Linked DNA regions of Kluyveromyces lactis. The protein of the gene in region 1 interacts with the protein of each later gene in a pairwise test. Links are inferred from orthologs where the notes say so. Each region holds a gene or a part of one and is shown on either strand. Other genes may lie near its edges. The genes, in order: RAD18 and RAD5.

Region 1 (3,449 bases):
TGCTCGTTGAAGATGAGTCCGAGCCATCACTGTACACCAAAGACAATGTAAGCGACACTGCAACAGCAACGGAAATATTGGCATCAAGTGTTGCAGAGGAACTTGAATCTGTTGAGTCAGAAATTGCAAGTGAAGATCATATCTACGTCGCTCATGAAGTCCAATCAGAAGATCATTATCCAGGTACCTCATTACAAGCGGAAGAAGATACCGCTACGCATATCGATCAAATAAAGTCTAACCTTGACGTAGAACTTGTCACATCTACAGTCGTTGTGACAGAAATTGAACTGTCTGTAGCCACTGATAAAACAGAACTCGAAGAATCAGACATTTCATCTGCCGAAAAGGATACAGAAGCTAAATCGAGCTTCTCATCCAGCACTACTATTTCTTCCTCCATTACCAAAACAGCGGATCAGGAAAGCGAATTCATAGTTACTGTTTCCGAAGAATTAACAACATCGGGAAGTTCATAATCGGCGATGGATGATTCAATTGCAGCTGCAGACTTAAACGAGCTTAAGGCTGTCGGTAATATTGAATCAATAGAAGCTTTTGAGTCACCTGTAATCTCTTCGGACATATTGGACACTGAATTAAACCCTACCAACGCTGAAATCGAAGAAAATATTATGGGTGCCCAAAGTGATAGCAATGTCGAGGAAACAAGAGTACAATCAGCCCCATCGCAATCTGGAGGTCGCAATTTAGAGGGAAGAGAAGATATCCTTAATGAATCTCCTGACATCATTCAAGATGAATTATAGATACTATATACTGATATACGATAAATAATGAAAAGTTGAGAATATTAGATTCTATTAATTATTCTCTGACGTTTGATCAATCTTTAGTATAGGTTCCGAACTTACTTCTGAGTTCGCATCACTCTTCTGGGAGAGCTCTTCCTTCTTCATCTTTGCAAGTTTATCGGAACGTTGTGCTTCCAATTTTAATGCTTTAAACGTTGACGTGTGATGTCTCATCCAACCTTTTCTATCAAATCTATCGCTTTTAAAAAGTTTGATCATGGCACTTATAGCATTAGTACGTTTATTACCCCTGAGAAGGTTAGTTATGCTATTGCTATCAGAAGAATGGTCTGTATTGTGCTTAGCTTCCCAACTGGATAGACGACGTTTAAGTTCATTTTCGTCAACAGGATCAATTGAATCTAAAAAATTACTATTCCATAACATTTCGTAATGCTTGTATCGCGCTACCATTTGCTGTTTGGTGCCATTTGATGGTAGAGCCAAAGAAGCAAGCTTCTGTTTCAATTGTGTCATAGATAAAGACTGAAAATCCAATCTTGGTAATCTATTTTCCTTTTGCTGCAGCAGCCCAGAATTTAAGTACCTCTCGTTATGGTACGTGATATCCTTCTTTTCTTTTACCTCTAGCAAATGTGAAGACGGCAGGCTAGTCTTCTCTTCTAGTGGTTGATGCGAAGATTCCATCGAAGGGGAGGGTGTACGTTCATCCAAAATCTCAAAAGAATCCGATCTCTCCAAACTACTACCTTTGTTCAAACACTCATCAATATGCGAACCTTCTAATTCTGAAAGCGGCAGGTGCTTGGAGCATATAGGACATTGTGCCTTCTTCTCTTGCCGCTGTGGATGATCCGTTTTCTTTTTCATTAACAACGTTGTTATACCATCATGTTTTCTCTTTTTAGTACTTACTGAAGATAAAGATGGGCTATCTGGAGTACCCCTCTTTGTACCTACAGATGTATCTGCCTCGTCAGATATTATTATTTCATTATCTTTTTCCTCTTCCTGAGATGATATTGTCAAGTGTTTCTGCAAAGAACCTCGCAGTTTCACGTAACTTGAACAAATCTCTTGTACTAGAAACTCTTTTTGTAGCATAGACTCAGTGAGGTCACTGAGACATAATGGGCATTTGCTCTCTTTCTGAAGGTACTTTCTTATGCAAATGGAACAGAAACTATGACCGCATGGCGTCAAGACCGATGCCTTTAAAAAATCTTTGCAGATATGACATCGAAGAAGTGAATCGAGGTCAGTAAGTTGCGGAACACTCGTGTGAAGAAAATCACGAGGATTCGATATAGTTTCAGGTACACTTAGCTTCATGACAGTTCTGGTTGATTCCTCTGCACTCCAGCATTTAATGTTTGATACTTTTCAGAAGGTAACTCGGATTATCTGCTTTTAGCTTCTTTTTATCGTATTTTAGTAATTTACAAAGTATGGCATAATATTGAAGCACTATTCAGAGCTAATTAAACAACGATGAAACGAAGTCAGATCAAATAACAAAGCCATATGGTCTATCAGGATAATATCCTTTGATTGTAAATATCGGTTAGAAGGAAATGTAAGAATTAAATATGATTGATATAATGATACATACATTAGCAATAACTATTGCAAATAAAAATACTTTAAAAAGGACACCAATGAATAAAAGAAAGGCGCGTACACTACAATAATTGAACGCAGGAATGAAATAAATTGAAAGAAATAAAGGAGACAAATAACTCAGCCATATAAAGAAACCCAAGCGTCAGGCAGATTGTGAAGAAAAACAAAAAATATGGTCATCGAGATAACGACAGACTCTATATGAAAAAGAAAGCAAACATTAGTTCATCCCATCAAAAGGAGGGTCCAAATCGTTTTTTGTTACCTCTTCTCGATAGCTATCTACTTCATCATTGCTGTTACAATGAGCAATCGCCCTTTTCCACACTGAACAAACATCAACACCAAAAAGAATGTTTGATGAATATTTGGAGTGATCAATTAATCCTGATTGACTGGATTCCTTGGGAGAAGTTTGATCTCTGAGACTCAACTTTCGGGGAGAATCAATACATTTCTTTTCTGTGTCATACTGTATCATACAATCATCTATAGATTGATTGATTACGTTTCTGAAAAACACTGGTGATGACGCATAATAATCTTCAAATAGACGAGACGGGCTTTGCCAAGTTCTGGTAGACGCCGGTGGGTTCAGACCATCTTTATTGAAATCTTTAGGTGTTGAAAAAATATTGAATTTCAGAGGAGTGACAGAGCTTTCCCTAATAGGTGTCTTTGAATTTTGCTGGTTAACTGATGGCAGCTGCAGCTTGTTCATCGGAGATACGGGTTCAAATGATGTGTTGAAAGAACACGAATATTTTTTGAATTTAGGAGAAGAGACGGCAGCAACCATTAAATCATCATATTCATGGTTATGTGCACTGACAGAGCGATGGTTAAATTTCAACGGGCCCACCAGATGACTAGAGTCTTGTCTTTTGACCATATTTTCATCTTCGTAATACAGGAAGTCTTTATCCGTAGCCGGAAACTGATGGCTTCCATGACCAGCAGCTTCGGCGTGATCACCTAATCGTGGCGATGAAGGTATATTGGTTATTGAAGTTGATTCTTCGTCACCGTCACTGCTTTGATCCAAGGAAG
Region 2 (4,595 bases), on another chromosome or scaffold:
ACAGATTCTGGTGGTTCTGCAGACTCATCTATATCGTAACTGAAGTTACTGGAGCGAGAGCCCACATGTGATGCAGGGGTTGTATTATGCATGAAGGCGTCAGACGGGTAAGGTCGTAAATATGGAGTTGAGAATTCGGAGTCCGTTCTAGATCTGGCATCAGTGTCATAATCTTCAGTAGGAACGTGAAGAAATTGGGATGGGACAGACTCGATTCTTGTTAAATCCAAATTATTCGATAAATCAGCGAGATATTTGTAGAGTCTTAAGAATTTTACGAAATCGTTTCGTTCAATATCTTGTCCACTAAATCGGAATTTCTCATAAAGCGAGATAAACTCATCCAAATACTGCTTATAAGGGTGTTTTTCATTCTCGAAAAGTTTATGAAGTGCTGTTTTGAAAGTTGTACTGAGATCCGATTCAGTGACAAAATTCAACAGCAAAGCCCCGTCGAATCTAAACCTATCAGAGATAAATTTAACAATTTCCGCATATTTCAAGTGTTCAGGAAACATATCACTGTCTTTTGGTTCCATGCCAGCATGTAAGACAGGCTCTTTCGGTACTTTAAACTTTTCCGCCAATTCTCCAGCTCTCTTCATATTTTCAATCACATATTCCCTTGAAGGTTTATGACGCATATCCTGCGCAGTTACTGGAATGTATTTCTTCGGTATATCTTGTAATGATCTTCGAAAGATCAATACACGAGCAAAACTAATAGAAATCCCAAATACCACTAATACAACAGCTGCACCGACCACAATAAAGGTATTAACTGCATCGTTGCTAGAGTCTGACGCTTGCACAATACAATCTAAAGGAACAACAACAGAAAAACCAACAAATAAAAGGATGAATATCACCTGCGTGGTATGATACCATATTTTATACCAACTTGTTACCATTCCAACTCATCTCTATAACAGTTATAATATAACATATAATCTCACACAGTGTGTCGAAAACGTACTTCTAAACGGAGATAAGTATTGGATGGAAACAGTCCTGGATTACAGTCTTCTCTGGTAGTAATTGAACTTAAACCCCGCAGAACCCCGCTATTTTCAGTTATCCAGAGTTAAGTCCGATCTTTTCGGGATTGTTAGCACTAAAACTCATATAGAATCCAAGTTCTTTCTCTCTCTCTCTCTATACTTTTATTGTCTGACATTGGGAAATGAAATTGTTTCGATGCTTTGAAATTTCAGCTTGTGGTACTTCATAGGAATACGAACCGATTTCTCTTTTGTTTCTATTTTGTTTCTTATTTCCATTATGTTTCCACAACGTGGTATTTTCTGGAAGTTTTCAAGTTCGAAGTTTTTTTTATTCACAAAAACTTTATTCATTTACGCGTCACGTGCGTTTGTTTTGCATTAAGAAATTGTTAACTTATTCGCGTCTCATCTCAGCTCATCTCTTTACTAATCATTTCAGGCACAGCAAAGGAATACTTGGAACACTACCCATATATATCTTTCAGTTGACCTGATTCTAGCAATACGGGCACCCAAAGTATGACACAGCCGCAAAAAGCTGATGAAAAACCAAGGTTCTTTCGTGATGAAGATGAATCTGTAATAAATTTGAACGAATCTCGATCTCTTTTTGTACAGGATGAGGCAGATGATTCTGATGATGGCCAAGGACATGTTGAAAGTTCCTCAGAAGTATCAAGTAATACATCTAATCATAAGGAAAGGTTTTTTGAATCTTTGAAGGAGATTCTTGGAGAAAATATGATTTCGTCCTCTCAACTCCACACTCTTTGGAGTTCATATGGTCTGCTCAAAGATGGTATAAGTATTGCAGCTGATAAATTCTTTGAGGACAAGGAATTACTTTCCAAAAGTAAAACTGAATCTAAAATGCCGGCTGGTGATAATATAGAGGTGATAGATTTGTCGGATGAAGAAAATGATGACGAATTGTCTATTCTGCCGTCTTCGTCCCAATTATCCCAACTGTTTACAAATAAGAGGACCAGCACCCAAGCAGGTTTAGAATCACCTATGTCATCTGACAAGGGAAGGAACCGATGGTCTCGTTACATTGGGTCTATTCATACTATGGGATTCGCTACACGGCCAACCGTAAAACCAGTTCCTATCGGATCCCGTTTAGGTTTTAAAAAATCTGTACCGAAGGATCTTCCCTTAGGTAAATCACTTCAGCACCAGCACTGTTCGCATTTAGTTCGCTTAATCGATACCTCACAGGATAGAGAACTTGGTCGAATGCCTGAAGATGTTGCAAGAATATTGTACCCACTTTTAGACTACAGCGAACAGGTCAGTCTGGAGCCATATCTTCTCATTAATAATGGTAAGAGATTCAGTGTTGGAGATAATATTTACATCAGAATTGATTGTTATTTGACCTCACAGGCTTTCGTCCGCATTGAAGGCGGAAGTATTCTGAACAAATCTTTTATCAATGACCATGGCATGGACACACGTCAGTTGCATCGCGCCGGAGCGATAATGGCATTGTTTGATGCGATAAATATACAACCAGTGTACGGAGACACCAAAAATGAGATGATACCTAACTACCAAGAAAACACTGTTTCTAGTTCCCAGTTTCAGGATGAAGCTTTGAACATCAATCAACTAAAATCATTTTACAGAATTACACAGTCCGCGGCCTCATTGCAAAACTTACCAGAAACTACCCCAGATGAATCACTTTTTAAATTGCAATTGAGAAGGTACCAAAAGCAAAGTTTGTCATGGATGCTCAAAAGAGAATACGAGTATAGTCATTTATCAGAGAAAGCCGCAGAAGTGTCTATTGATGGGAATAGTATGAATCCACTATGGAAGAAATTCCGCTGGCCATCTAATTCAAAACAAGGGACTCCAAACCACGAAGATGATTGCTTCTTTTATGCTAATTTATACACTGGTGAGTTTTCTATCGAGAAGCCGGTCATTAAGACGATAATCAATGGAGGTATTTTGGCGGATGAGATGGGTCTAGGGAAAACAATATCAGCTTTAGCATTGATTTGTACTGCTAGCTATGATGAGGCTCATGAAAAGAAAATTGAGTCAACCAAAAAGCCTTCTATGAAGGAGATGTCTTCTCAAGTGGATTCCTCTCCATTACGCCATTCTCAACATAAGCATGACACTTATGCTTACAGGACGACGTTGATAGTAGTGCCGATGTCCTTATTGAATCAGTGGCAATCAGAATTCGAAAAGGCCAACAAGGACCTCAAAAAACGTTGTGAAATTTATTACGGGAATAATATTAAAGATTTAAGGGCGTATGTGCTTGGCCCCAACGCTCCCTCAGTAATCATAACTACTTATGGGATAATTCAGAGCGAATATGGGAGAACCTCAACATCGGGATTATTCAATGTGGTCTTCTTTAGAATAATATTGGATGAAGGTCATACGATTAGAAATAGAAGTACAAGGACATCTAAAGCTGTCATAGCCTTGCGGAGTTCCAGAAAATGGATCTTGACAGGAACACCAATCATCAATCGACTTGACGATCTATTTTCCTTAGTTCAGTTCTTGAACTTAGAGCCCTGGTCTCACATCAACTATTGGAAGCGTTACGTTTCAGTTCCTTTCGAGAAAGGTAACTATGCGCAGGCATTTGATGTCATAAATGCAGTATTGGAGCCTGTGCTTCTCAGAAGAACGAAGAATATGAAGGATGTTGATGGCAAACCTTTAGTCTCTTTACCTCCAAAGGAAGTAATCGTCGAAAAGTTGCAACTTTCATCCAGTGAGAAAAGAGTTTATCAATCCATGTTAGAAGATGCGGAAAACTCTGTTAAAGAAGGGTTGGCCAAAGGTGATCTATTGAAGAACTACACTAATATCTTGGTCCATATTTTAAGACTTAGACAAGTCTGCTGTCATTTGGATTTACTCAAAAAGACACCAGATCTCGGAGACCCAGATCTTGAAGATCTGGAGAACTCAACTCAAAACATCTCCTCCATCCTCATGCCAAAAAATATTAAGTCACCAAAAAGTTCCATTTCTCAAGATAAATTGGATGCTTTAAGTGCGAACTTTCGTGATATTCACAGCGCTTCAGAGCAATTACCTTCTTTTGAATGTGCTATTTGCACCACTGAGTGTATTGAACCGCTGTCTGCGGTCTCTATAACAGAGTGTCTCCACACATTTTGTGAACCTTGTTTGGCAGAATACATTGAATTTCAGCAAAATAAAAAACTATCCATCAACTGTCCATATTGTAGAATGCCGATCTCAGAAGCTAATGTGTTAAAGCTAAAGGAGCCAATTGATGCTGAAAGAGGATATGAACTAATTTCGTTTCATTCACATTTCCAATCGACTAAAATTAAAGCTTTATTGAGGCATCTCAAGCAAATACAAGAAACTTCTCCTGGTGAACAAATAATCGTATTTTCTCAGTTCTCATCATTCCTAGACATTCTAGAAATAGAGCTACGTTCGCATTTGCCAAGAGATCAGGTAATTATTTACAAATTCGACGGACGGTTAGATATGAAGGAACGGACTAGAATCTTGGAACAGTTCCACGATAAGGATTTGAGTTGTATAAAGTTATTACTTTTGTCGTTGAAAACT

What was found.
Region 2: the proteins of RAD18 (region 1) and RAD5 interact in a two-hybrid assay, tested with the Saccharomyces cerevisiae proteins (4 studies listed by BioGRID). The link is inferred for Kluyveromyces lactis from reciprocal best matches to the Saccharomyces cerevisiae genes RAD18 and RAD5.

What each region holds. Positions count from the first base shown.
Region 1 is NC_006039.1:765,023-768,471, forward strand, and holds RAD18 (E3 ubiquitin-protein ligase RAD18), read right to left. Parts: upstream 2,109-3,449; coding exon 825-2,108; downstream 1-824. Other genes in the region: GTPase-activating protein SED4, read left to right, coding at 1-479; HCM1 (Hcm1p), read right to left, coding at 2,620-3,449. UniProt on the Saccharomyces cerevisiae protein: E3 RING-finger protein, member of the UBC2/RAD6 epistasis group. Associates to the E2 ubiquitin conjugating enzyme UBC2/RAD6 to form the UBC2-RAD18 ubiquitin ligase complex involved in postreplicative repair (PRR) of damaged DNA.
Region 2 is NC_006042.1:1,601,560-1,606,154, reverse strand, and holds the start of RAD5 (DNA helicase RAD5), read left to right. Parts: upstream 1-1,523; coding exon 1,524-4,595. Other genes in the region: DLT1 (Dlt1p), read right to left, coding at 1-911. UniProt on the Saccharomyces cerevisiae protein: Probable helicase, member of the UBC2/RAD6 epistasis group. Functions with the DNA repair protein RAD18 in error-free postreplication DNA repair.